7 linked regions of the Callithrix jacchus genome follow. The protein of the gene in region 1 interacts with the protein of each later gene in a pairwise test. Links are inferred from orthologs where the notes say so. Each region holds a gene or a part of one and is shown in the gene's direction. Other genes may lie near its edges. The genes, in order: NDN, SERTAD3, E2F1, NEFL, LAX1, EEF1AKMT1 and APBB1IP.

Region 1 (3,725 bases):
CAGAAAACCCTTCAACACCAACCTGCTTGAGGAAAATTAAAGTGACAAATGAGAAAAGATAGATACTCATAGTGAGGACTCTAGACATGTCAAGACAATTTTAAAACATGCTTTGGGCTTCAAGTGGCAATAACTAGACTCGAGACAACATATTTAAGAAGCTGCTGATGAGAGGGAACCCGGCAAGGGCTGAAGGACCACATCAACGCAGACCAAGGATGCTGAAGCAGCATGGAGGCCCCTGGTTGTGGAGGCTCCAGCAATGCCCCTTTTTCCACGGACAGCCTCTAGGAGTGACAGCTTTGCCTTGGCCCACTGGGAATCTGTTTTCTATAACTGGAAAACAGGGCTATCCATATGTTGCCCCCGCTACCTTTTGGTCATCTGAGACACCGCCAGATATTGCCCATGGGACCTATATCTTTTTGGAGATCTCAGGAAGGAATGATTTGGGTGTGACTCCCAACACTGAGGACTCAGTAGCTTCAGAGAAGGTCCTGGGAGAAGGTGAATCGGAGAATGAGGTGCTGGGCAGAGGGAAAAATGCATTATCATACAAGTTTGTGCTAATAGATATGGCAATCCTTCTGTTATGGACTAAGCATGGAAAAATAAAAGAAAATGGAATCAAAGTGACTCAAAGTAAGTGTAAAAGCCAAACCTATGCCCATGAAAGCATCAATGATGGTCTAAGCCCACTGCCTCCTGAACAAGTTCACGGCTCACGCGGGTAGGAAATCACGTTAACGACACGCTGCATTTCTCCTTTCCTTATAACCGCATTTCTCCTTTCCTTATAACCCCTCTGATGTGGTAGGGAGGGAGTCAATCAACTTTTTATTGGAATTTCTCAGGATTCCAACCTCGGACATCCGCCTCACAGTTTACACGTCTTCTCGGACAGCCCGACCGTTCCTCTCACTCGTTCACATAAAGCTCCAGTTTGCACAGCCTCCCAGACCTTCCTCTGGGGCTCTCATACTTAACTGGATTCTGGATATACCCAGGCGAGCATTTCCCAGGAAAGTCGACCCCAGCATCCCCAAAACCTGAGTTATCATCTTTCCCCAAAACCTGCTCCTTCTCCACAGGCATCCATCTCCCTCCTCTCCTACCCTGAACTTCCTCGGCCGGAACAGGAAACCCCGGGATCGCTGTCCCGCCAGGTGACGCCTCACCGCGGACCCTCCCCGTCGGGGCCCCTCGCGGCCCCGCCCGCCCCCGGCCGCCCGCCCGCCCTGGCCGCGGTCGCGCAGGCGCAGTGCCGCGTCCCGCCGCCGCCCCGCCCTGCCCGCCGCTGCGGAAGGCGCCGCGCGCAGCAACGCGCACTTCCTCTCCAGGAGTCCGCGGAGGGAGCGCAGGCTCGAAGAGCTCCTGGACGCAGAGGCCCTGCCCTTGCCAGACGGCGCAGACATGTCAGAGCAGAGTAAGGATCTGAGCGACCCTAGCTTTGCCGCCGAGGCACCCAGCTCCGAGGCGCAGAGCAGCCCTGGGGTTCCGGGGGGGGTTCCTCCGTCCGCGACCCTGGCGGAGCCGCAGAGCCCTCCCCTAGGCCCGACGGCCGCCCCGCAGGCCGCGCAGCCGCCCCAGGCCCCGATCGAGGAGGTCGACCCGAAGGCTTTGCTGGAGGCCGCAGAGGAGGGCCGCGCCCACCAGGCCCCGAGCGCGGCCCAGCCCGGCCCGGCGCCGCCCGCCCCGGCGCAGCTGGTGCAGAAGGCGCACGAGCTCATGTGGTACGTGCTGGTCAAGGACCAGAAGAAGATGATCATCTGGTTTCCAGACATGGTGAAAGATGTCATCGGCAGCTACAAGAAGTGGTGCAGGAGCATCCTGCGGCGCACCAGCCTCATCCTCGCCCGGGTGTTCGGGCTGCACCTGAGGCTGACCAGCCTGCACACCATGGAGTTTGCGCTGGTCAAAGCGCTGGAGCCGGAGGAGCTGGACAGGGTGGCGCTGAGCAACCGCATGCCCATGACGGGCCTCCTGCTCATGATCCTGAGCCTCATCTACGTGAAGGGCCGCGGCGCCAGAGAGAGCGCCGTCTGGAACGTGCTGCGCATCCTGGGGCTGCGGCCCTGGAAGAAGCACTCCACCTTCGGGGACGTGCGAAAGCTCATCACCGAGGAGTTCGTCCAACAGAATTACCTGAAGTACCAGCGCGTCCCGTACGTGGAGCCGCCAGAGTATGAGTTCTTCTGGGGCTCCCGGGCCAGCCGTGAAATCACCAAGATGCAAATCATGGAGTTCCTGGCCAGGGTCTTTAAGAAAGACCCCCAGGCCTGGCCCTCCCGATACAGAGAAGCCCTGGAGGAGGCCAGAGCTCTGCGGGAGGCTAATCCCGCTGCTCACTGCCCCCGCAACAGTGTCTCCGAGGACTAGCAAGGTCTGGAGGCAGATGAAATGCTTTCTGACCCTCACCGGGGCTGTGGAAGGGTGGGGGTGGGTCATTAGAGTGTTCGGGATTTACAGTGCAGTATTCACGTGTAACTTTTAAGTTTTCAGTACAGTGCTTTTATACCTTTAATGCAATGTTGTATTCATTTGGGTACTCTTGTGTAGTATTTAGGATGTATGCATGTTTGTTTATATGTAAGCTTGGTTGGTGCTTTCGCTTTTGTGCTACCTTTCTTGGATTTTTGTACCTGAGACATGCTAAACTGACGAAGTACCTTGAGAAAGTTTGCATCTTATTATTTTATATGGGACTGGTGATGTGTGTTGGGGTAGACTGCTCCTGCAGAGTTTGGAAGAACTCACCAGCAAAGCTGGCCTAACCAAGAGAAAAGTCAAGGCTCTTCGTGACCTTGCTGGGCACAGAAGACATTCTCGTGGAGTAAACTGATTTGAACTGGACTGGTCTCAATGTGAGCACTTGGCACAATTTACTAAACACATATACAACCCTACCGTGAGTCAACTTTAAAGTAAACATTAAAGATTCTTGTGATACAATCATTTTTGGAAAAGTGTACTCTTATCATTTTAACAGAGCACTATGATTGGGAATGAGACAATTCTCTATTTTACAATGTGTACAGATGTAACTGTTTCCCCTAATAGGGTGGGAAAAATCGCTACTCGTGATTACTCCTAAATTTGTGAAGGTTATAGTTTTATTGTCTTTAAATGTAATTGTTTATTTCAAAAACATGCACAAATATAAAGTATAAAAACAAAGCAGTATGATTGTCCATCATCACATCATATGAGAATAAAAACTAAAAATAACTTCCTTCCCTTAAGTTTCTATATTTTATCAAAATTAATGGATGTCTTGTGGGCACTTAAAGAGTGAGACATTGTACTCAGCCCTAACATGTATTTTTCCCCTTTTATTTAACCCTCACAACAGGCCTGTGAGGAAGGCATCTACTGCCTTTGCACCATGGAGGAAACAGGAATAATGTAGGTAATTAACTTTCCATAGCTTGTAAAGGTTAGCAAGAGAAGGAGCTGGCACTTCAACTCAGAATGAATCCAGAGCCCACATTTGTCCCCACCTGCCTACAATCCCTCATACACCCTGTGGCTTTTAGGTTATTTATTTTCAAACTTATTTTTACATTTTACGTGGGAGCCCACACTCCCAGCTCCCACCTCCCACACTCACATGCATTCATGGGCCACACAGAGAGAGAGGCTAGGAATTTTATTTTTCTAGTTCTCACAATATTTTGGAGAAAGCAAGATTATTCTGATTGTGTAAATTAAGAAATTTTCATCTT
Region 2 (4,143 bases), on another chromosome or scaffold:
AAGTGATTCTTCTGCCTCAGCCTCCAGAGTAGCTGGGATTACAGGCATGTACCATCACACCTGGTTAATTTTGTATTTTTAGTAGAGACGGAGTTTCTCCATGTTTGTCAGGCTGTCACCCAGTCTCGCTCTGTCACCCAGACTGGAGTGCAGTGGCGCAATCTCGGCTCATCGCAATCTCCACCTCCCGGGTTCAAGCTACTCTTCTGCCTCAGCCTCCCAAGTGGCTAAGATTACAAGCGTGCGCCACCACGGCCAGCTAATTTTTGTATTTTTAGTAGAGACAGAGTTTCAACATTGTTGGTCAGTCTGGTCTCGAACTCCCGACCTCAGGTGATCCGCCCGCCTCGGCCTCCCAAGTGCTGGGATTACAGGTGTGAGCCACCACACCCGACAAAATATACATATATATTATTAATAATAAAGATTTAGAAGCCTTTTGTTGTCATTTTTGAGAAGTTATTGCGTGCCTGGCATTGTTGGAGACACTTGTTAAGGCTGGGAAGAAAACATGCAAAATCCTTACGTTTTCGTGATGGGGGAAGGGGAGCTTGAAGCCATTTTAGAAAAACGAAGTGACTCAGTGGGGTAGGATCGGAAAGAACCAGGAGAGCGCATCAGGCCAGGTCGTTAGGGGCTTTGTGGCAAAAGGAAGAAGTTTGAAGTTTGTCTTCGGGGCGGTAGGAAGCCATGAACAGAAGCGGAGTCGTCATCTTGATGGGGCGGGGAAGGAGAGAGGGTGTCCCAGAAGGGACCACCAGAGGAGGTGCTGAGAAAACCAGGGGATTTAGAAGGGACTGAGGAGTAACGTGAGGCGCGGGGGGAAACAAGAGAAGGGCAGTAAGGGGGCGGGACTCCGGTCACCTAGGCAACACGGCCACACCACACTATTGGCTGGTCTTTTGCTACGTCATCCCCCGCGCCCCAGCGTCCGCCCTCGGAACCCCCGGGGCACGGCCTCCTACGGCTGCTCGACCCCGCCCTCCTGGACAGCAGGGTAGGGAGGATCATATCAGCCTCTGTGGCTCCGCGGAGGGGTCCAGACGTATCAAAAAGGGACCACAGGAAGCAATGGTGACGCTCTTGGAGCAAAGACGGTAGCTGAGTGAAAGGAAGCGGTTCTGCTGGCTCCACCGCCCTCCACCCCCGAGGCGGTGCCCCGCCCCCTGCCAGTAGCACTTCTTTAAATGGCTCAGGGCGCTAGGAAGGGGTAGGCGGGTCCGGCGTCTCCGGGCCAGGGCCGGTGGCTCCGCCCAGCCAATCGACGCCCCGCGGCGGGCAGGCCTCCAGCCAATCGCGGCTCGGCTACGGGGCAGGAATGGGTGGGCCCGAGGCCAGACGGAGAGGTCCCGCCGCGGTGAGCGAGGTCCCAGCCCGTCACTGGTGGGTCCCGGCACTGGCTGGTCGCGACGCTGCTGGCGTTCCTGAAGGTGGTCGTGGAGAACCTGGTAGCTGAGGTGAAGAGCGATAGCCTGGCTTGGGAATCTACCTTGGGCTGGAGGAGGGAGAGGCGCGCCCCGGAGATCTGCGGAGGCGGGGTCTGGGTGAGACCGGGGTGGGGGGGTCTCAGATTCAGGGTGTTAATAGGGAGGGTCTGGGGACCCGAGACAGAGTTCGAGACCCCGGAGGGGAGGCAAGGTTGGGGCAGTATTTTCAATTGGAGGGAGTTCGAAACTGGGACGTGGGGCGTTTGAAGAAGCGAGAGAACAGAGGGGAGGAACTTTTGAGATGGGGAACCTGGAGATTCGATTCCACTTGGGTCTTCGGGACAGGATGAATTCGGGGCGTTATCGTGTTCTTGGAAAAGGTATGAGAGGTTTGAGAGTGAGATCCTGAGCATTTGGAGAAGCGAGATAGAGTCAAGGATTCTTGGACTCCAAGACGCACTGGTGGGGGAAAGAAAGGGGGTTGCCGGAAAGATTTCAATGTTCGGGTCTTGGAGCCGGACAGCGAGTTTGGAGAAGTCCAGGGGCGTTTGAAAGTCAGGAGAATAGAAGTGGAAGTATCAAAATTAGGATACGTAGTCTCCCGAACTAGATCGTAGCATTGTAGTCATTGAGCGGTGTGTTCGGACTTGGGTCTCGGGACGAGAATCCCGGACTTTGAAGGAACGGAGGCACCAGGAGAAGGCAGATTTAGAGCCGGAGTCTGGGGTGGGGGAGGGGTGTTCCGGGCGTGGAGCTCAGACTCACCGCCCGGGAGGCAACGGAGGGCGGGGCTCGGCGGCCGCCGGCAGCTGGACGTCCGGGTGCCCTTCCCCCACCCGCCCTTGCCCCTGTGCGCATGCCCTGAGGGAGGGCGGGGGAGTGGGTTCGTCCCCTGGAGGAGCGGAGCCCCCTGGGGATTGTGGTGCGTGCCCGACGTCAATTCGTGTACCTGGAGGCTGTTGGCCCCCGTTTCCCAGAAGACCTTGGGCCAAATTGGGGCGTTTCTGGAGTCTCTAAGGACCCGTGAAGGGGCGGGGCCTTGCAGCACCGAGGCCTGATTGGGTGGGTCCCCTGGGGGCGGGGCTTGGTCTGAGCTGAGTTCTAGCAAGTTTTCCTATGGGGCGCGCTTTGGGGGAAGCTGAAAGCGCAGCAGCGGGAATGAGGCAGGGCCCCTTTCCTACTCTTGGGAGCGCTCCCCGTCGGTTAAGGAAGAGGGCATAGACAGAAATATCCTGACTGTAGAAGAAGAATCACAACATACAGGTGCCCCAAGAGGGCTCCAGGAGGCTCGAATATAGTAGGCACTCGGTAAATCTGTTGGGTGAATAATTGGCAATTAACTCTTGATCGAGACCGGGTGTGGTGGTAATCCCAGCTACTCAGGAAACTGAGGCGAGAGGATCCCTTGAACTCCGGACTTGGAGACTGCCGTGAGCTATGATCGCGCAGCTGCACTCAGCCCCGGGTTAGACCTGTCTCTAACAAAACAAACAGAACTCTTGTTTATTAAGCAGTTCCTGTGTGATGGGCCCTATGCATACTTTTCATCTCCTTGACAGCGGTGGTGAGAAGTATTTTTTTAAGGTCCCCGTTTTACAGATAAGGAAACTGAGGCCCTAAGAGGAAATTCACTCAGGTCACTTACCACAATCACGCAGCTGAGCGGTTTCCAAGACAGAAAATTTGGGGTTCCCTACTTCTAATTCAGGTCTCATTTGCTCCACACTTATCTTGCGTGCTCCATGTTTGAAGAAATGAGTACTGTGGAAGAACGGTTTTAAGGCTTAGAGGAACTTGAGTTAGGATCCTTATTTTGCAGATGAGGAAATCCCCATGGATGTAAATGCACTCCTGTTTGAGACCACAACAGGCAAGTAAGTAGGATTTAAATCCAGCTGTACTTAAGTCCAGATCTTATTTTCATTTATTTACTTATTTATTTTTGAGCTAGAGTTTTGCTCTTGTTGCCCAGGCTGGAGTACAATGGTACAATGGTTCGATCCTGGCTAACTATACAACCTCTGGCTCCAGGGTTCAAGCGATTCTCCTACCTCGACCTCCTGAGTAGATGGGATTACAGGCACACACCACCACACCCTGCTAATTTGGTATTTTTAGTAGAGATGGCGTTTCTCCATGTTGGTCAGCCTGGTCTCCTGACCTCAAGTGATCCACCCACCTTGGCCTCCCAAATTGCCAGGATTACAGGCGTGAGCCACCTGCCCAGCCCTTATTTTCTTGATCCTATATGTATTCACCTCCTTAACCTTGTAGGATTCAGACAGCCTTCATTTTATAGATGATTAAACTGAGATTCAGATGATTAAAAATCACCAACAATTCAGTTGGCCTGAGAAAGTGGGATTTGAGCCAGCAGTACAGTGCCTGGTGTCTGACATGCTCCTATGCCCCTCTTCTCTCCACAGGGCATCATGGTGGGAGGCTTGAAGCGGAAACACTCTGATTTAGAGGAGGAGGAGGAGGAGAGGTGGGAGTGGAGTTCAGCAGGCCTTCGGAACTACCAGCAAGCCCTGCTCCGCATCTCCCTAGAGAAAGTCCAGCACAGCCTGGGCCCCCGAGCACCCAGCCTCCGCAGGCATGTCCTCATCCACAACACCCTCCAGCAACTGCAGGCCGCACTTCCCCTGGCTCCTGCCCCTGCCCTGCCCCCTGAGCCCCTCTTCCTGGGTGAGGAGGATTTCTCCCTGTCGGCCAC
Region 3 (4,181 bases), on another chromosome or scaffold:
TGCCCTCCTCAGCCTCCCAAAGTGCTGGGATTACAGGTGTGAGTCACCGTGCCCCGCCATGCCTCTGGTTCTTTTATAACCTTTCTCAGTGCCTGCTCTGGGTCAGGCCAGTGTTGGGAGGAAGCGCTACTGAGCTTCTAGATTGGCAGGGGAGGCAGATGGAGAAATGTGTGGTCAGTGTTGGAACAGAGGCAGCAGTGGGCAATAGAGGAAGTGAGTAGATCCTTGGGAGGGGTCCCTAGAAGAAGTGATGTGTTTTGTTTTTGTTTTGTTTTAGAGACAGGATCTTGCTCTGTTGCCCAGGCTGGAGTGCAGTGGCATGATCATAGCTCACTGCAGCCTTCATTTCTCGGACTCAAGCAATCCTCCCACCTCAGCCTCCCAAGTAGCTGGAACTACAGATGGACACCACCACGCCTGGCTAATTTTTGTATTTTTTGTAGAGAAGGGTTTCACCATGTTGCTCAGGCTGGTCTCAAACTCCTGGGCTCAAGAGATCCACCCTGCCCGTTGATTATAGTGATTCCAGGCATGAGCCACCGCTCTGGACCAATGCTTCATCCTATTGTAAACGTCTGTTACCTCTCTGTCCCCTATCCAGTAGACTGTGAGCTCCTTAGGGCCACGAATTAAGGATGGGGGCACAGAGTTAAGGATGGGCACAGAGCAGGCTCTCCTGACGTTTGTTGAATGAGTGAGGGAATGAATTAGTTCAAGCAGACGCTTTACTTGGCCATTGTAGATTTTGGCTAAAATGGGACTTGCAGGAAAGCCCCAGGCTAATATCTGGCGGGTCGTCCCTCCTCATTTCCTGGTACCGCTCTTCAGCTTGGGCTTTGGGTGAGTGGGATAGGGCTGGGTGCAGGGTTAGGATAATGTCATGGGTGTGGTAAGTTGAGGATAGGAGAGGTGGCTGATGGCTGGGCTGTGGAACTGATGATCCCGAAAAGAAGAGGGGGCAGTTTCTGGAGATGTGGGCTGAGGTTGTGGGGGCTACAGGTTGAGGGTCGCGTGAACAGAGGCTCTGTCCTGAACCTGCACTATAGAAAGGTCAGTGGGATGCGGGAGCGTCGGGGCGGGGCCATGTTCCAGTGTCCCCACGCCTCCGGCAGGGGACGCTCGGCCTGGGGGCGGGGAGTCCGACCGCGCCTGGCACTGTCTGGACAAAGCCTGCGCGCGCCCCGCCCCGCCATTGGCCGCGCCGCCCCGCGCCGCCCCGCGCCGCCGCCCCATCCCTCCCGTCGCCGCCGGTCCGGCGCGCTATAGCCAATAGGAGCCGCTGCCGTCGACTTCGTCACGGCCCGGGCAGCCAATCGTGGCGGCGCTCGGCGGCTCGTGGCTCTTTCGCGGCAAAAAGGATTTGGCGCGTAAAAGTGGCCGGGACTTTGCAGGCAGCGGCGGCCGGGGGCGGAGCGGGATGGAGCCCTTGCTGGGGCCTGCCGCCATGGGCCCGCGCCGCCGCCGCCGCCTGTCACCCGGGCCGCGCGGGCCGTGAGCGCCATGGCTTTGGCCGGGGCCCCTGCGGGCGGCCCATGCGCGCCGGCGCTGGAGGCCCTGCTCGGGGCCGGCGCGCTGCGGCTGCTCGACTCCTCGCAGATCGTCATCATCTCCGCCGCACAGGACGCCAGCGTCCCGCCGGCCCCAGCTGGCCCCGCGGCGCCCGCCGCCGGCCCGTGCGACCCCGACCTGCTGCTCTTCGCCACTCCGCAGGCGCCCCGGCCCACACCCAGCGCGCCGCGCCCCGCGCTCGGCCGCCCGCCGGTACGGACCCCAGGGACGCCGCGCCGGCAGCACTGCCTGTGCCCCCTGAGCAGACCTGGGCGGGTGCTGTGTTTGGCCTGGAGGCGGCAGGGGGCGGGGGAGGGGTGGACTGAGGCACCCAGGCTGGGCGGTGCAGAGCCTGGCTTGTGCCTCCAGGCTCCGCCCTGGGGTGCGGGGTGACCTCGGGCCGGTCCCTGTTTGCTCCTCTGCTCTGGGCCTGAGCTTCCTCACTAAAGCCTCCCCAGCGTCGGACTCAATGATAATAATGGCCCACGTGTATTCAACTGGCGTTTATTGCACGCCAGGCCTCGGCCGACTTCAAGCCAGCTGAAACTCACAACCCTGCTGTAAGCCGTGTTGTCACTGTGCCCAGCTGACGGAGGAGGACTGAGGCCCAGAGAGGGACAGTGACTTGCCCCTGGTCACACGGCTGCAGGTGGCGGGGCTGGGATTTGAACTGCGGCCTGCTGGCTTCAGATCAGAATTTGCATCTCGGTAGTGAACACAGCTGCTAGGGGAAGTGAAGGCGGGGCGAGGAAGGTCCTGGGGCTTAACCGTTGGTGAGCCACTGAGGAGACCCTCCTTCCTGCCTCGATGCTGACTGCCAGGTGCAGGACTGGCCGGCCAGGCCTCTGGGGACAGCCCTCCTGGCTGGGAGGCCTTCTCTGCAGGGGCGGGGCAGCTGGACCAGCTGCTGATCTCCTCCCTCTGCCTGTCCTTCCATCTGCCACCCTCCACCCTCCCAGGCCCTGGTTGCCATGGAACCTCATTAATCAGACAGACAGACCCCTGAGCCTCTGTAGAAGAACTAGGTGGGCTGGGCCTCTGGGAGCTGGAGAGGAGGCCCCCAGTGCCAGGAGAGAAAATGTCCCAGGGAGATCCTTTAATAAAGCCGTCCCTGAGTGCTGAGCTCAAGACCAGTTCAGACGGGGCGGGGGGTGGGGGGGGGGTGGTGCCCAGAAGAGGTGGCTGAATTACAGTGGGAGAAGGGATTGGAGGCGTAGAAGCCTGGAGCTGGGACCTGTGGGCTGCAGTACAGGGTGTGGAGACCAGTTTGACTGGCGCAGCCTATGGGTGAAGGTGGGGCTCTGATGTGCAGGCAGGGGCTGGTCAAGCAGGATGGGGTCTCAGCAGGGAGCTTGGAGCAAGTGGGAGGGGTGAGGCAGGGCTTAGGACTAGGAGGTAGAAGCTGCCTAACTGCTGATGGGGGTGAGGGTAGCAGCTGGTCCCTGAGGCATCTAAAGGGGCTCCCCCACCCCCTTGGCCTCATGCCCAGTGCTGCCTTCCGGAATCACCACGATGCTAATAATAATAACAATAGCAGCCACCATTGTTTTGAGGATGTCTTATGTGCCAGGCTCTGCCAAGAGCTTTACCTAATTAACTCATTTAACCCCATCAGCAGCAATCCCTTTTTACAGATTGGGAAGCTGAGGCCTAGAAATACTAGAATCTTCCCATGTCATTCTGCTATTGAGCGGGGGGTTGAATCTGTATTTCCTGTGAGGTTGACCTCTGGGATGCATTGCTTTCTAGGGATGCTGATAGAGGCTGAAGAAAGGGCAGGAAGGGCTTTTGGGGGCCCTTCATCTTAATGAGTGGGTGGGAGGGGTGGGCCAGGTGGCTTGTCTCCTGTACTCCGGGGGTTTGTCCCTGTGGGTAGTGCTTGGGACCTGGGCAAGCATCCTCCATTCAGCTGTGTGACAAGCATATAGCAGGCTCAGGTCTGTGGAAACCTAACAGAACCTGAGGGTCTTGTCCTCAAGGAACTGAACAGGATTATGGATTCTAGGATCAGAAGGAGAAACGGGGCAAAGAAGAGTGCCCTCCACTCTACCTGTCAGGGGCAGGCTTATTGGCCCGGGCATTCCATTCATTCAACAGTTGTTGAGTTAGTGAATGCCTAGGAGGCACTAGGCTCAGAGAAAAGGAGCCCCACCCTCAGAGTCCTTCAGGGCCAGGAGGTGTTTTCTGTACTTAGGGGCAGGAGACTGGAGCTGAAGTCCAGAAGGTCCACAGGTTCGGCTTTTGGCCTCTCTGCACTGGCATTTGTCTGGCACAGTCCCTGGAATAAGCTACAGACTTAGCTTCTGTACCAGCAGGCATTCGTTGAACACTGTATACCAGGCTCTGTGCAATTCAGCCATTTCTCTTGGTCCTGCCTGTCCACTTCCACAAACTCAAATATTTTAAACATAATACATGTTTACTGTAGAAAACTTAACTGTTTTTTTTTTTTGGAGACAGAGTCTCATTCTGTTATGCAGGCTGGAGTACAGTGGTGTGATCAGGGCTCACTGCAACCTCCACCTCCGGAGTTCAAGATATTCTGTGCCTTGGCCTCCCAAGTAGGTGGGATTGCAGGCACATACCACCACACCCAGCTAATTTTTGTATTTTTAGTAGAGACAGGGTCTTGC
Region 4 (3,129 bases), on another chromosome or scaffold:
AAGCCAAGGATGAGCCTCCCTCTGAAGGAGAAGCCGAGGAGGAGGAGAAGGACAAGGAGGAGGCTGAGGAAGAGGAGGCAGCCGAAGAGGAAGAAGGTATGATAAGAAACAAACCCCTGCAACTTCAAGTGCAAACTGGGTGTGGATATTTGTTAGGTGGTGGATAAGACAAATGAAGCCTTGCTTATTTATTCATATATGATTTTAGAAGCATAAATAATTTTTCTGCTTGTTCAACAAACCTTTTCTAAGCACCTACTCTGAATGAGGTCAAAATGGACCTCATTGGTCAATTGGTCAAAAATTTCATTTTTAAATACATTCATTTAACATAACAGGTCGGTGTCCTAAGGAATAAAAATAGATACCAGACACCTAAAAAAAATAGTGAGGTTAAATCTTTGGGAGGAGCAGAGCTTTCCATGCCTAGAAGTGGTCTCATTCCATTTAAATATGTGTTCAGTGGCAAATTATTCATGGCAAGCGTTGTTTGTTACATGTGCTTTTGGAGAGAATGGAGCTGGGAGGTTGTGGTGAGCACTCTGACGGTTTCATCTGCATTCACAGATAAAACCTTAACAGCCATGTTTTGACTGGCCTTACCTTGGATTTGGATTTTGTACACTTTCTTTTTATGTTCAAGCTGCCAAGGAGGAGTCTGAAGAAGCAAAGGAAGAAGAAGGAGGTGAAGTTGAAGAAGGAGAGGAAACCAAAGAAGCTGAAGAGGAGGAGAAGAAAGTTGAAGGTGCTGGGGAGGAGCAAGCAACTAAGAAGAAAGATTGAACCCCCATTTCCTTAATTATGTCAGGAACAATTCTCCCGAAATCAGGTCAACCCCATCACCAACCGACCAACCAGTTGAGTTCCAGATCCTGTGTGAATTAAAAAGTCAATATATGTATAATTCTGAGATGACTTAGGTTGGACATTCAATGTTGTGCTCTGAATTTCCTCTTTATGCAGAGTATCTGTTTGCTTGCAGAGTGGCTTTCTGGCTTGCTGCCAGCCTGTGCATGGTCCACGCTTATGAGTTCAGGAACTATGGCAATGTGAATGATTCAGATGTTTACAATAAAAAACACCACATGAGTAAATGAATTCACTAATGTTAATGTTAAACTTCATGGAAAAATAGTCCTTTGAACCTTTGGTGGTTAGCAGTTCAAGACCTTGAGTTATGTGCAATAAATAGTAAATAAAGTTATACCTAATGATGTATTTTTTGCTCTGGTTGTTAATCAAAATACCTTAAAGTTGGCACTGGTGTAAAGTATATACCAGTGGACTATTGACCTCCATAAGAACTCCAAGTTTTAACAATTACCAAGACTTTTCTTTTTGTTCCCTCATTGGAAATTCCGAGGGATACAGTTAGGTCATAACTATTCATGAAATCTCTCCCCTCAAAAATGTTACTGATAATAAACATGAGTAAATGAGAATGTCTATAAAAACAATAGACTTTGCCCCATAGCATATACTGTGTTAGGTTTTGGGATGGCTTTCTAGGGAGCGATTCTGAAAATATTTGACAGATATACTCGTTATGGTAAATAGGTCATTTCAGAGTCCAGAGTGCTAGCCATTATACCATGGAACCACAATAAATAGGTCATTTCAAACTGTTATGTCATAATGCAATATGGTTAGAATATGAATCCCATATATTCATCCCTGTAACTGTATTTTAAAATATAGTCTAAATATCATGGGCAGAGGTTAAAACCTGAGAACGTGGTACCATCAGAAGGAATGACTTATCTATATATAATTTCAGGAGAAGGGACTATCAAAGGTTATTTGTCACTCCACTGCAAACATATTGCCTGCAATTCTGAGCTCATGATTTAGTGTGTTGTTAAGCGTAATTCTGTTGCCTCAAGTAAATAGCATTTAATCTCACACAATTTCAAACCTTAAAAAACTACAGATACAGGTAATGAAATTATGAATCACTTAAGGGGGGAGGTAATATGCTTGTATGTTACATTGACATTGCTCTGCATGTGTCTTGGAAGATATTTGGATTTCACTGATAGCTTGACTGGTTGGACATATTATCAGATACACACCTCATATGTCCTCTCTGTTTATCGAAAAGTTATGAACGCTCTTGCACTTGCATTTGATGTGGAATAAATATATAGATATTATTGACTATCTGCTGTTCTGCCTTTATTCTGAAACAATTGCTTTGTCAGCTAATTTCATTCAATATTTGTTTTTTAGACAATCTTTATAAGTTATGGATTTAAACTGAAACCAAAGTGGTCTCCATTTAAAGTTACTTAATCCCTTTGTACCAACTATATCTAGTTAAATATATGTCACTATGGAAATAGGTAAGCTGTTTCTTTGCCATGATGGTATGGACTGGAATTATGAAAACTCTCAATGTATTGGCTCCTGTGAAGGGGAGACAACTCCTCAGAAACCAAGCTTTTCACATTTATGCTTAGTAGACATGGGATGATGTACATGGCAAGTCTCAAACAGATGCAAGCTACATGCAAAAAGTAACTTTAGCCAAATGAAAATCGCTGGATGCTCTGAGAACTCCTTGGTGGAAGTAAGAACACTGTACCATTCTCTACCCTGTGTGCCATAATAAAATACCAGAAAACCTAAATTGAATTTGAAGTCTTTTTTAACATTTCCCCAAATTTTGTGCTGTGGTCATTGCCCCTTTTCCCTCTGCTCCCCCTAAATTTGTGGTTCTCTTTCAGTATCTCCTCTCCTAGTGAATGATCCCCTCTCCCTAATCATCTGATTCTATTAAACAGACACCTTGAATGACAGCCTACCTCCCATTGCCTCTCCTCTGCCCCTCTAGAATAACCTATCACCAAGTTATAGTGATAACGCCTCCACATTTTAAATCCTTCCAATCCTTTCAATTTATACCGCCACCACTCTAACCTTCTCCCAGGGCCTCCTCTTGGTCTCCCTCATCCCCCTGAATGAAACCCTCTAATAGCTTCCTGCTTTTAGTATGAAAACCGAAATCTCAAATGTGATCTTCAAGGCCTGCATAGTGCTGACCCCTATCTACTTCTCTAACCTTATTTCATTGTACAGCCTTTCCCTCCACTTCAGGTACTCCAGCCACCCTGGTATTCTGTTCTCCCA
Region 5 (4,135 bases), on another chromosome or scaffold:
GGAAAGATAAGATAAGTGAGGCCCTGAAATGATCACATGCAATGGAAAAGTTCTTTCAAAAAAACTTTTCTCTTTTTAAGTAGCAGTCATGGTTCTGAGGTTTGGTTCCATGCACCCTTCCCTTGTACTGCTTTCCAAGTTCCTGGTTCACACACAGTCCCATCAGCATGATAAATCTTGTGAGTAGTCCTAGTTCCTACCCAGACCTGATCCAAAGAAGTGGGCAGAGACCCGGGTTCCAGCTCCAGAATCAGCTGCCTCTGAGCCATTTCTGCTTCCTGCAAGGTGAAGCTCCTGGGAGGGAAGGAGTCCGGGACCTGGAATGATACAGCTCCTTGGAAAGCCGGTCAGGGCTAGTCTGCAGCCCCTGGGGACTCTGTGAGAGTCTAGACCCAGACAGGCCAGGGGTTGCCAGCTCAGGAAAGCTGAGGACCTCAGTGTCCACTGGGAAGAGATGGGAGGGAAGCATGAGTGCTGCTGGTCTTCCCCCCGATTCATTATCTGGGAATCCATTTCCTTGCGGAAAGTGCAATCAGAGAGGTTCTTCTTCACATCCTCACAACAGTCTTAGTGGCCCTTTCTCTTTGGACTCTCCCAAGATGCAAAGAGTGTTTCTAGAAATTAGTAGGCTCAAGAAGGGAGGGGAGCTAGCAACAGATTTCGACCAATCCTCACAGTTTGGAAGATTTTGGGTAGCTCTCAGGGATGAACTATCCAGCTTCTGTGACAGGTGTGTGACAAGTAGGACTATGACTGATCTTCAAAAGAACCCTGAGAACAGGAGATTCCCAGAAGCCAGGAGCTGTGGAAGGTCACCTTAGGGGAGCAGAGGCCCTGCTAACCCAGCATAGCATCCATTCTTAAGGTAGTGCCCAGAGCAGAGATTCCCGAAACTTGACATACAGACCAGCTCTGTCAAAATCACCTGGAGAGCATCGATGTCCAAAGCCTGCCCTCCACTTACTGAATCAGAGGAGGGTCCCAGAGATCTGCATTTGTCTGTCTCTAAAAGGCAACCTCCAGTGCTCCTTAGACTTGCTTAGAAAACACTATAAATTCGAAGACTTGTAAAACTCTAAATGTCTCAGAACCCCAGGGTAAAGAATCACAAGTTCTCTACCACCCTGCCCCATTTTTAATCACACTCATCATAGACCACAGAGCACCTGGCAAACCCAGGGAAGATATGTTTTCTTCTAGCAGATTAAGAACTGAGCAGCGTTTCCTGTGCCCTGCATTTCATTAGCACATTGGTGGTGCTGTTTCCGGTGACTGACTCTCTGTTTCCATTCTGGCAAAGTGGTTTGCTCTTTTCACTTTGCTTTGGGTGTTGAAGGAAGATGAGCTTCTCACGGAGCCTCTCTTGAGCCTCTTGGCAGTTTCCCCCTCCGTGCCCCTTATGTTTCCACCAGAAGGCAGAGGCCATAGATTCTCTCTGAGCCACCTCACTCGGAGGCACCACGTCCGGATGAGATTGCACTCCTGCAGTGGGCATTAGCCACATCCAGGTAGAACCAAACCTGAGCTTATGTATTTTGGGTCAACTCAGCCTGACACTTCAGAGGTAGACACAAGATAGGAAGTTTGTTGGGGGTGGTGGAGGTGATAGACATGCTGGGTAACTGATTATGATTCAAAGAAACTTAGAAGCTGAATCCAGAGAGCATCTGAAAGGTTCCTGAGACAATGGATGGTGTCACCACAACCCTTCCGACAATCGGAGAGAGGATCTTGGAGTTCAACACTCTGCATGTGACTCCCAGCAGCCCAGACAGGTAAGTGACTCAGGGTGGTGAGCTCCACCCTCCCCTGATTGAGGCAGAAGGTCTTAGTCCACTCCTAAGAGCTTCTTATACAGCAGTGATGCCACCTCTCAGCACCCAGGCTGACCACTAAACTCTAGGATTGGAGGCTTTTCTTCAGGGGTGCTAGGGGGAAAGGCAGGTATTGAGGAAACAAAGAGGATATTGTGGTTGAAGAAAAACTGTGATAACACTGGTCCTGAAAACCTGGACTAGCTTTAGTTGGATTTCTCACCTCTCAGAGGCCCTGAACCCTGGTGTCAATCTTTCCTAGATGTCCCCATGACAGAAACAAAAAACTGAGTTTTCCAAGGATGTGTTTTGAGATCCGAAAACTTGCCATGAGTAAAAAAGTGTAGTGATAGATGTAATAAAGATATGTCTTTAGGACATAAATTCTTACAGAACTAACTAATCGTGGGTATAAATTACTGCTAATCCTTTCAATCTCATACAAACAAAACTAAAAATCCATCAGCAGTTGAAACTTTAAAAACATTGATAGCTATAAATTTCAGTATTATAATAAAAATATAACCCAATGACAATTTTTAAATTGCAGTCATTTTGAGGCCGGGCATAGTGGCTCACGCCTGTAATCCCAGCACTTTGGGAGGCCAACGTGGGCGGATCACCTGAGGTCAGGAGTTTGAGACCAGCCTGGCCGACATGGTGAAACCCCATCTCTACTGAAAACACAAAAATTAGCCAGGCGTGGTGGCATCTGCCGACAGTCCCAGATACTTGGGAAGCTGAGGCAGAAAAATCACTTGAACCCTGGAGGTAGTGGTTGCAGTGAGCCGAGATCATGCCATTGCACTCCAGCCTTGGTGACAATACAAAAACTCTGTCTCAAAAAATAAAATAAAATAAAATTGCAGTAGTTTTGGGAAATAAATGTTATTAGCCTGGCAAACACATGTCACTTGCAGGTAGATACAAGCATTGATGAGCAATGAATTCACAAAACTCAGAAGCCTGAAGCATCCCTCCAAAAGTATTTCTTTCTTTCTTTCTAATTAGCAAATCAAAATTATATATATTTATCATGATACCCTATTGTTTTGAAATATGTATACATTGTGCAACAGCTAAATTAAACCAATGAAAATACACATTACTTCACAATATTTTTGTGGTGAGAATACTAAAACTTTCTCAGTAATTCTCAAGAATATGACATTTTTATAACTATAGTCACCATGTTACACAACAGATCTCCTGAACTTACTCTTTCTCTAAGTGAAATTCTGAATCCTTTGACCAACATCTCTGCAACCCCTCCCTGGTAACCAGCATTCCTCCATTTCTATGAGTTCAGCTGTCCACTCCACATGTGAGTGAGATCATCTGGTATTTATCTTTTTGTGCCTGGCTTATTTCATTTAACATAACAACCTCTAGTTTCATTCATGTTGTCAAAAATGACAGGATTCCCTTCTTTTTTAAAGGCTGATTAGTATTCACTTTTTTTTCATCTATTGATGGATATGTAGGTTGAGTCCACATTTTGACTATAGTGAAATAAGTATGGAGTGTAGGCATGCTTTTCAAATACCGATTTCATTTCCTTCAGATATATCCCCAGTAGTGAGATCACTGGATCATATGGTAGTTGTTGTTGTTGTTGTTGTTGTTGTTGTTGTTTTGAGACACAGTCTCGCTCTGCTGCCCAGGCTGGAGCGCAATGGCATGATCTTGGCTCACTGCAACCTCCACCTCCCGGGTTCAAGCAATTCTCCTGTCTCAGCCTCCTGAGTAGCTGGGATTATGGGCATGTGCCACCATGCCCAGCTAATTTTTTTTTTTGCAATTTTAGTAGAGATGGGGTTTCATCATGTTGGCCAGATTGGTCTTGAACTCTGACCTCAAGTGATCCACTCACCTTGGCCTCCCAAAGCGCTGGGATTACAGGAGCTAGCCACTGCACCCAGCTTTGGTAATTTTATTTTTAATTTTCTGAAGAACCTCCATAGTTTTTCCATAATGGCTGTACTACACTCAAAACTATTTCCATATTAATTCTTTCATTAATTCAGTCACTCATTCATTTAACAAATATTCATCGGGGCCTTACTAAATACCAAGCCCTGTTTAGGGCACTAGTTAAACAGGATAAAGGAGTCCATAACCTCCTGAAGCTTATAGTCAAGTTGGAGAGTCAAATGATAAACAAGGCTGAGCATGGTGGCTCACACCCATCATCCAAGCACTTTGGGAGGCCGAGGCAGGAGGATAACTTGAGCCCAGCAGTTACCAGTCTGGGCAACACATGGAGACTGTCTTAAAGTTTTTTTTTTCTTTAGTTAAAAAAAAATGATAAACGGCCAGGT
Region 6 (4,136 bases), on another chromosome or scaffold:
CTAAGGCAGTTTTGTTTATTGAACAACACCTCCGTAAAAAATGCACTTATAAAAGTTGGTTATTGTTTCTTGGTTTGTGTTAATTTCTTTTAGTTTGTTTTATATATTTTCTTCCTGATCCTTTTCCAGGATACACATGATCTTGAAATATTTGGTTAATAGACTTGTCATCAATTCAAAACAAAGTCAAAATGTAGCATGAGTTATTATAAACTGGGAACAGTTCTTAAAATAGAAATGATAGTACGCCCAACATTATAAGCCTACTGCTTCATGAACTACTTACTGAATGGCGGCATCTGCCAGCTGAACAGTTCGTTTATATTCTTACCTTATACCAGAAAGGATTTTCAAATTGCTCAGCATTAATATAACTTAGCAAGATCACGAAAGTGGTAAAGAAAATAGAGGAAAGGGAGGTAGGAGCATAATGTAGATTGATTTCTTGGGGAATTGAAAACAAATACTTTGTATCAGTTACAATTTGATAACTGCCAAAACCTAGGAAAACCTTGTAATCAGTGCCTGTGTGTGCCAGATAATTAAGGTATTGTTGACAAAAATCGTATATACTTATCAGTGCTAGATAGATAGATTGATTGATTGATTGATTTGATTGATTGATTAATGCACTCAACACTGTGGACTCTGAAAGACTAGCGAGTTTTAAAGATTCCCCCCACCCCGCGCCAATTTTTACCAAAGCCTCAATTTGATGTCAACAATTGAAGTCAACGTTTTGATTTGATTAAAAGACTAAGTAGACAAGAGACCGATGAAGCCTTGACTTTAAAAACCTACATGATTCGGTGCAAAACAGTAGGTTTAACTTTAGGATCTTAAATTTATTTTATTTTTTGATACAGTGTAGTGGAGTTTAGCTGCCCGATCTCGGCTCACTGCACCCTCCGCCTCCCGGATTCTCCTTCCTCAGCCCCCCGAGTAGTTGGGATTACAGGCCCACGCCACTACAGCCGGCTAATTTTTGCATTTTCAATACAGACGAGGTTTCACCATGCTGGCCAGGCCGGTCTCGAACTTCCTGACCTCAGGTGATCCTCCCCATCTCCTCGACCTCCCAAAGTGCTGGGATCACAGGTGTGAGCCACCGCGCCCGGCCAGGACCTTAAATTTTTATTGCCACCATTCTTGGAGGCAACTGATGAGACACTTGAGGGAACGACTCCGGGTTGGTCACAGCCCCCAGGGTTCTAAGCACGGGATTGAGACGCTGCCTATAGACTGCCTGGCTTGCCCACGAGCCGAGGCGTGTGCGCCTGCGCCTGTGTCGGCGCCTGTGCGAGCTCGACACTGGCCCGCCCCTCCCACTGCTCGCGGCTGGTCAGGGTGACTGCGCACGCGCGGCTGGTGAGTGACGCTTTCGGGCGCGGACGTGGGGTTGACTGCGCGCAGCCGAGGGGTTTTGGACTCGGTTAGGTTCCTTTTGCATGTTAGTTTCTCACCTTTTCCAGCACTGTAGTGGTGGAAAGCTTTAATTAGCGGTGGCTGGCGGATGCCTGAGGGAAGGCGCTGGCGCCGGCCTGAGAGGGGACCCTGGTTGCCGATTGGGCGCGGCCGGGCCTCGTGTCCTGGTCGCCGGAACGGGCCGCGTCCTATGCCGCGCACATTGGCGCCCGGGCCTTAGGCAGCCTTGATGCTGAGGGGGAAATTAACCCCCAGGCTATGGCAGCGCGGGAAGGCCTCCCTTCCGAGCAGAAATTGGACTGGGCCTCTGTCCTTTCCATCTTTGCCCTCAGAAGTTCTCAATGCCGGGCCCGGCTTTACTGTGCGCTCCTGGAGAGCGGGTATCCGCAGCGCCGGTTGCTGGAGCTTCTGAGGCGGGTCCTCTGCCGGGTGCCGGGGCTTGGGAGGTGGAATAGACTAGGACGCAGGCGACTTTACTTGAAAAAGGGCAGTAGCTTCGGAGGTGCGGGAGAGATGCTGGGATGTTCGTGGGTCTCTAGCCGGAGGAAGCCACATGTCAGACAGGAAGGTCTTCCTGATAGGGGTTTTGATGGGGTGTACGTTACAACGTCGCACTGCACACCTGCGACCTGCATTTAACTGTAAGCGTTACTTCCTTTTAAAAGTTAATTTTAAAACAACAGAAATAAATAGAATTTTGAAAAGCAAGAGAGAACTGTTTGAGGCAGGGGGACTGAAAGATGCAAAGAGAATGAAAAACTTTGGCCCTTTTCTAGATGTAAATTGGATTAAGGGTAGAATCATACAGCAATCTACAAAAAATATTTGGAGAATATCTAGGCCTTCCCCATTCCTAGAGGGAGCGTTGCTCTCCTGCGGTTTCCTGGAGTCTGGAGTGGCTCCTAGGTTAATCCTCTCTCTGCTAGATCACACTGTCTTAACCTAATTTCACGCGAGAATGATTGTGGAGATTACAGTATGGTGGTTTTGCCCTAAGTAAATGTGATAACATGGAAATTGAGTAATTGTATACAAAAAGAGACTAATCACAGCCCATCAGAAGCTGGCTAACCCCTGCTTATGCTGCAAGCCAACATGTCCGCCCCTTTGCTCATGCTGTTCCATCTTCTGGAATCGTCACTCTTCATCCTTACCTTTTCCTCAGGCCGAGTTGACGCTCCACCTGCTCTTTCACGCCTCTGCCCACTCGCCCTCTACTCTGATCCCATGGTGTGAATGGTGCTGCCCTGTAGAGGGCCTCCACCTTACCTTTGGTGTTCGCCATGTGTATGCCTAACCTAGAGTTTCTCAACCGCAGCTTGTAGGGCAGGATACTTCTTTGATGTGGAGCTGCTGTCCTGTGAATTTTAAGTTCAGCAGCCTCTATGCCAGTAACAACCTCCTTTCCATTTATGGCAACCAAAACTGTCTCCAGGCATTGCCAGATGTCAAAAGGGCTCCTGGTTTTATGAGAACTGCTGATCTAGAGTGTGAGCCACATAAGGTCCAGGATCAGTTTAATAATAATGTAATTATGATATAATCCATAGGTAAAAGTTTTTAAAGAAAAAAAAATTTTTTTAACTGCCTCTTGTGGTGCAGGGCTACCCCATAGACAGTATGCCCAGAGTAGCCATAAAAATTTTTTAAAAAGAATAGTAATAAAACAATACTTCACAGCACTTTTGGATTTGAAAAAAATCTTGCAACCCCCCCTTAGAAATTCTAAAAATAATAAAGATGATAAAAATAGTAACTTAAAACATAGCTAAAAATAGGTTCACTTCGTTTAAGTTTTTTTTTTTTGAGATGGACTCTCCCTCTTGTGGCTCAGGCTGGAGTGCAACGGTAAGATCTCTGTTCACTGCAACCTCCATCTCCCCAGTTCAAGTGTTTCTCCTGCCTCAGCCTCCCGAATAGCTGGGACTACAGTCACCCTTCACCACGCCTAGCTAATTTTTGTATTTTTAGTAGAGATTGGGTTTCACTATGTTGGCCAGGCTGATCCCAAACTCCTGACCGCAGGTCACCTGCCCGCCTCGGCCTCCCAAAGTGCTGGGATTACAGATGTGAGCCACCACTCTTGGCCATTTCATTTAATCTTTAATGTTTATTTTGCTAACAGATTTCATTTACTTCATTAGAAGAAGTGATGCACTTTTGAACTCGCTTTAACAATGCAGAAAACATTCTATGATTCCGAAAATTGCCACCTGTGCTCTCCATGTGTTCCTCCATTAATCTTATTGTCATTTAACATTTATTTCATATATATGTTTTAGTCTGTCTCTGCCTCTCTAGAATGTAAGCTCCAATAGCATAAGGACTTTGAGATTCATCACCAAAAACAGTGCTTCCTACATGGTAGAAAATGAATATCAAAGGAATGGATTTGGTACACTTTAAACTTTTATTTTGGGATCAAATTCTTGGGTTGGAACTTAATCGCTTTTTACAGCTATGAAGGTAGACAATTTTAGGCTGGGCACAGTAGCTCATGCCTGTAATCCCAGCACTTTGGGAGGCCGAGGCAGGCAGATCACAAGGTCAGGAGGTCAAGACCATTCTGGCTAACATGGTGAAACCCCATCTCTACTAAAAATACAAAAACTTGACCCAGCATGGTGGCTCATGCCTGTAATCTCAGCACTTTGGGAGGCTGAGGTGGGCAGATCACGAGGTCAGGAGATCGAGACCATCCTGGCAACATG
Region 7 (3,500 bases), on another chromosome or scaffold:
AGCCCTTCGGGAGGCTTAGGCAAGAGGATCACTTCCTTCCTGCCCATCGTTTGTTGAGGCCAGGAGTTCAAGACCAGCCTGGCCAACAAGGCAAAACCCCTTTTCTACTAAAACTGCAAAAATTATCAGGGCATGGTGGTGTGCACCTGTAATCCCAGCTACTCGGGAGGCTGAGGCAAGAGAATCACTGAAACCCGGGAGGCGGAGGTTGCAATGAGCCAGAATCTATGCGATTGCACTCCAGCCTGGGTGACAGAGTGAGACTCTGTCTCAAAAAAAAAAAAAAAGTTATGTATAAAAATGGCTTACAGTAAAATAAACTCTTTGTCCACATTTAGGAAACCGAAATTTTAGTCCAAGTACTGTACACTGGCACTATTAGCATTAATGTTGTATGCTGCGTGGCATTTATGATGATGATGTCTGACAATGTATCCTTTCACAAAGCTTATTTGTTACTGAGTAGGCTTCATTCCAGCTGCTCCCATTTCCTCAGTCTGGTTCATCATATCTATAGCAGCTAGAATTCTCCTCATGGATCACTTCCTTCCTGCCCATCCTTTCTTCATTATATTCATCATATAATATATGCCTGATCATCAAAGTACTCCATCAAGACTACTCACCAACACCACCCCCAGTACACCACACGATCTAATCAATGTTCAAGATCACACATCTGCTCTACCATAGTAATCTCACATATGGAAGAAATCCTAAGGTGATCTCTCCTTCCTCCCTCTCACTCTGAAAATTTAAGTCTTTCCTTTCTTTAAAAGTTAACTGCCGGCTTGCCATCTTCATAAAGTTTCTACCATTCAATCTCATAATTTTTGTAATTTCTTGCCACCTATGGTGCTTTAATTTCTGCTATTTATTGTTAATTGCTCTTGGCTGGGCACAGTGGCTCATACCTGTAATCCCAGCACTTTGTGAGAGTGAGGTAGATAGATCGCTTAAGCCCAGGAGTTTGAGATCAGTCTGGGAAACATGACAAAACCCTGTCTGTACACAAAATACAAAAATTAGCTGGACATGGTGGCATGCACCTGTAGTCCCAGCTACCTGGGAGGCTGAGCTGGGAGGATTGCTTGAGCCTGGGAGGCAGAGCTTGCAGTAAGCCAAGATCACACCACAGCACAACCTGGGCAATAGAGTGAGACTCTGTCTCAAAAACAGCAACAAAAATTGCTCTTTCTCTGAATATTAAGTTTACTATAGTTAGGTGGTGAGCCTATAGAAGCTCCATCTTCACCCCAAAGTCACAAGCACATCAAACCCAGTTGGTTGAAACCCAATTTCTTCTAAATATCAGCAGTACTCTGTTTGCCCTCCAAGTGCTTAGGGAAAACTCCCCTTCCATCTATTGCCAGTGCTCCCCGTCCCCCAATTTTTAAAACTCTTAGATCTTACACTATAATGCAAGAACTTCCTATTTAGGCATGTATTTGTGTGCTTGGATTTGACTTTATACCTGGTGTGTCAGGTGCCCCAGTGTAGAGAACACATTTCCTCCATTTTTTTTCCTTGGTGTTAGAAACTCACTCGCATTAAGCACTCGACAAATGCAGCAGCAATCCTCTTAGGAATTCCTATGCTTGTGCTGTTGAATTAAAATATTCTCAATCTTCTCATTATATCATAACAAATCAAAATAATTATTCCTTTCTACTCAAATGTTATTCTTAAAAATTATCTTCTTTTAGTTTTTCCAGATGCAAATTCTTGTTTTTACCATTCATGTGATTTTCCCCACTAGAGTCCTTAAATGCACTGGAAGACCAAGATTTAGATGCTCTCATGGCAGATCTGGTAGCAGACATAAGTGAGGCTGAGCAGAGGACAATCCAGGCACAGAAAGAGTCCTCACAGAACCAACATCATTCAGCATCTCTACAGGCATCAAATTTCAGCAGTGCAGCCCCTCTTGGTTATGGAACAAATGCTGCTGCCATTGGTATCAGCCAATATAAGGAAGACTTACCACCTCCACCAGCTGATCCTGTGTTAGATCTTCCATTGCCACCACCACCTCCTGACCCTCTCTCTCAGGTAAGCATGTGGGACCAGAGATGGCAGGGCCATCAATCTCTACTACCTACCTTCTTTGCAGTGATCATTCCATTCCTAAGTTTGTACATCCAAAGCTCTGAGATACCAAAAAAGGAGGATACAGAGCATGCTCATTGCAGAGCTAGAACCCGCCCTAAACAAGCCACATGGGTGTGTATCAAGAATGTATTAGGGCCATATTCAGAATTTACTACAGTTTGCTTAAAAACTATATTTATATGCAAACACTCTTTGATAAAACTCAATCTTTTGGGGAAATGTTTTATTAACATCATATTGAACTGTGGAACTGATTATATATTTCCATGTCCCTGTTCCTCGCTCAGTACATAGAGAATAGAAGGCATTCATTATACATTTTCTGAATAGAGCAAAATTGAATTTTGTTGAACTTGGCAGCCCTGTTCAGTAGGACAAGTACATCCAAGTATCACTTGTAATGTCATAGTCGGGGAGGGTATTATGAGGCAGGCAGGTGATGAGTTCTTGAGATTGATAAATTTCTGAATGTTGAAAAACAGACAACTGGAAAGCTTAAATTATCTTTATTTGGCATATTAACTCTTAGTATGCCTCTCATAAAAGTAAAAAGAGCACTTTTAAGGATTTTTATTTGTTTGTTTAGAGTAAGCCAAATATTTTAGAGGAAAATTCTGCTCAATTTCCTGCAGCTTCCACATTTGTGGCACTGTGTCACAATGATTGGTACTCACAAATAAGACCCTAGGGACCCTGAAAGGTCATATAATGCCTTTAGAATGAACAAATATTAAATATAAATCAAATATTATATTGTACTCTATCACACACGGTGCTCTATTGTGTATTTATTATTTAAAAATTTGGCTGGGCACAGTGGTTTATGCCTGTAATCCCAGCACTTTGGGAGGCCAAGGGATCACCAGTTCAAGACCAGCCTGGCCAACATGGTGAAACCTTGTCTCTACTAAAAAATACAAAAATTAGGCATGATGGCGGGTGCCTATAATTTCAGCTACTCAGGAGGCTGAGGCAGGGAGAATTGCTTGAACCCGGGAGGCAGAAGTTGCAGTGAGTCGAGATTGCGCCACTGCACTCCAGCCTGGTCTACACAGCAAGATTCCATCTTGAAAAAAAAAAAAAACTTACGTGAAAATGGAGATCAGTATAGAACAGAGACTCTTAATGTAGGGTCCGTGAAGATTTTGAGGGGGCCTTGCATCCCCTGAAAGCAAACAAAGTACAAGTTGAATGCACTTGTGAAGCTTTATGGGCTTTCTTAAAGGAGCTTGTGGCTCAAAAAACAATTTGAGAGCCACTGCTATAAAAAGATACATGCCCATATTCAAGTAATCAGAATGTAGCCAGAACAGCTTATTTCCTCATCATTATAAATAGAAGAGAGCCTTAGCTTGCAAAAATCAAAGAGCTTGGGCTCATAAAATACT

Evidence for each region.
Region 2: the proteins of NDN (region 1) and SERTAD3 interact in a two-hybrid assay, tested with the Homo sapiens proteins (2 studies listed by BioGRID and IntAct). The link is inferred for Callithrix jacchus from reciprocal best matches to the Homo sapiens genes NDN and SERTAD3.
Region 3: the proteins of NDN (region 1) and E2F1 interact in a two-hybrid assay, tested with the Homo sapiens proteins (2 studies listed by BioGRID). The link is inferred for Callithrix jacchus from reciprocal best matches to the Homo sapiens genes NDN and E2F1.
Region 4: the proteins of NDN (region 1) and NEFL interact in binary tests that used the Homo sapiens proteins (3 or more experiments, as listed by UniProt). The link is inferred for Callithrix jacchus from reciprocal best matches to the Homo sapiens genes NDN and NEFL.
Region 5: the proteins of NDN (region 1) and LAX1 interact in a two-hybrid assay, tested with the Homo sapiens proteins (2 studies listed by BioGRID and IntAct). The link is inferred for Callithrix jacchus from reciprocal best matches to the Homo sapiens genes NDN and LAX1.
Region 6: the proteins of NDN (region 1) and EEF1AKMT1 interact in a two-hybrid assay, tested with the Homo sapiens proteins (2 studies listed by BioGRID and IntAct). The link is inferred for Callithrix jacchus from reciprocal best matches to the Homo sapiens genes NDN and EEF1AKMT1.
Region 7: the proteins of NDN (region 1) and APBB1IP interact in a two-hybrid assay, tested with the Homo sapiens proteins (2 studies listed by BioGRID and IntAct). The link is inferred for Callithrix jacchus from reciprocal best matches to the Homo sapiens genes NDN and APBB1IP.

What each region holds. Positions count from the first base shown.
Region 1 is NC_133507.1:5,529,829-5,533,553, forward strand, and holds NDN (necdin), read left to right. Parts: upstream 1-1,325; 5' UTR 1,326-1,413; coding exon 1,414-2,379; 3' UTR 2,380-3,225; downstream 3,226-3,725. UniProt on the Homo sapiens protein: Growth suppressor that facilitates the entry of the cell into cell cycle arrest.
Region 2 is NC_133523.1:35,998,470-36,002,612, reverse strand, and holds the start of SERTAD3 (SERTA domain-containing protein 3), read left to right. Parts: upstream 1-1,343; 5' UTR 1,344-1,544; intron 1,545-1,609; exon of another isoform or gene 1,610-1,807; intron 1,808-3,246; exon of another isoform or gene 3,247-3,301; intron 3,302-3,853; 5' UTR 3,854-3,859; coding exon 3,860-4,143.
Region 3 is NC_133506.1:5,612,550-5,616,730, forward strand, and holds the start of E2F1 (transcription factor E2F1), read left to right. Parts: upstream 1-1,381; 5' UTR 1,382-1,500; coding exon 1,501-1,761; intron 1,762-4,181. UniProt on the Homo sapiens protein: Transcription activator that binds DNA cooperatively with DP proteins through the E2 recognition site, 5'-TTTC[CG]CGC-3' found in the promoter region of a number of genes whose products are involved in cell cycle regulation or in DNA replication.
Region 4 is NC_133514.1:16,534,021-16,537,149, forward strand, and holds the end of NEFL (neurofilament light polypeptide), read left to right. Parts: coding exon 1-96; intron 97-643; coding exon 644-783; 3' UTR 784-2,629; downstream 2,630-3,129. UniProt on the Homo sapiens protein: Neurofilaments usually contain three intermediate filament proteins: NEFL, NEFM, and NEFH which are involved in the maintenance of neuronal caliber.
Region 5 is NC_133520.1:30,827,008-30,831,142, forward strand, and holds the start of LAX1 (lymphocyte transmembrane adapter 1), read left to right. Parts: upstream 1-1,335; 5' UTR 1,336-1,686; coding exon 1,687-1,775; intron 1,776-4,135. UniProt on the Homo sapiens protein: Negatively regulates TCR (T-cell antigen receptor)-mediated signaling in T-cells and BCR (B-cell antigen receptor)-mediated signaling in B-cells.
Region 6 is NC_133506.1:140,451,201-140,455,336, reverse strand, and holds the start of EEF1AKMT1 (EEF1A lysine methyltransferase 1), read left to right. Parts: upstream 1-1,336; 5' UTR 1,337-1,368; exon of another isoform or gene 1,369-2,064; intron 2,065-2,694; exon of another isoform or gene 2,695-2,766; intron 2,767-4,136. UniProt on the Homo sapiens protein: Protein N-lysine methyltransferase that selectively catalyzes the trimethylation of EEF1A at 'Lys-79'.
Region 7 is NC_133508.1:26,771,529-26,775,028, forward strand, and holds part of APBB1IP (amyloid beta A4 precursor protein-binding family B member 1-interacting protein), read left to right. Parts: intron 1-1,759; coding exon 1,760-2,052; intron 2,053-3,500. UniProt on the Homo sapiens protein: Appears to function in the signal transduction from Ras activation to actin cytoskeletal remodeling. Suppresses insulin-induced promoter activities through AP1 and SRE. Mediates Rap1-induced adhesion.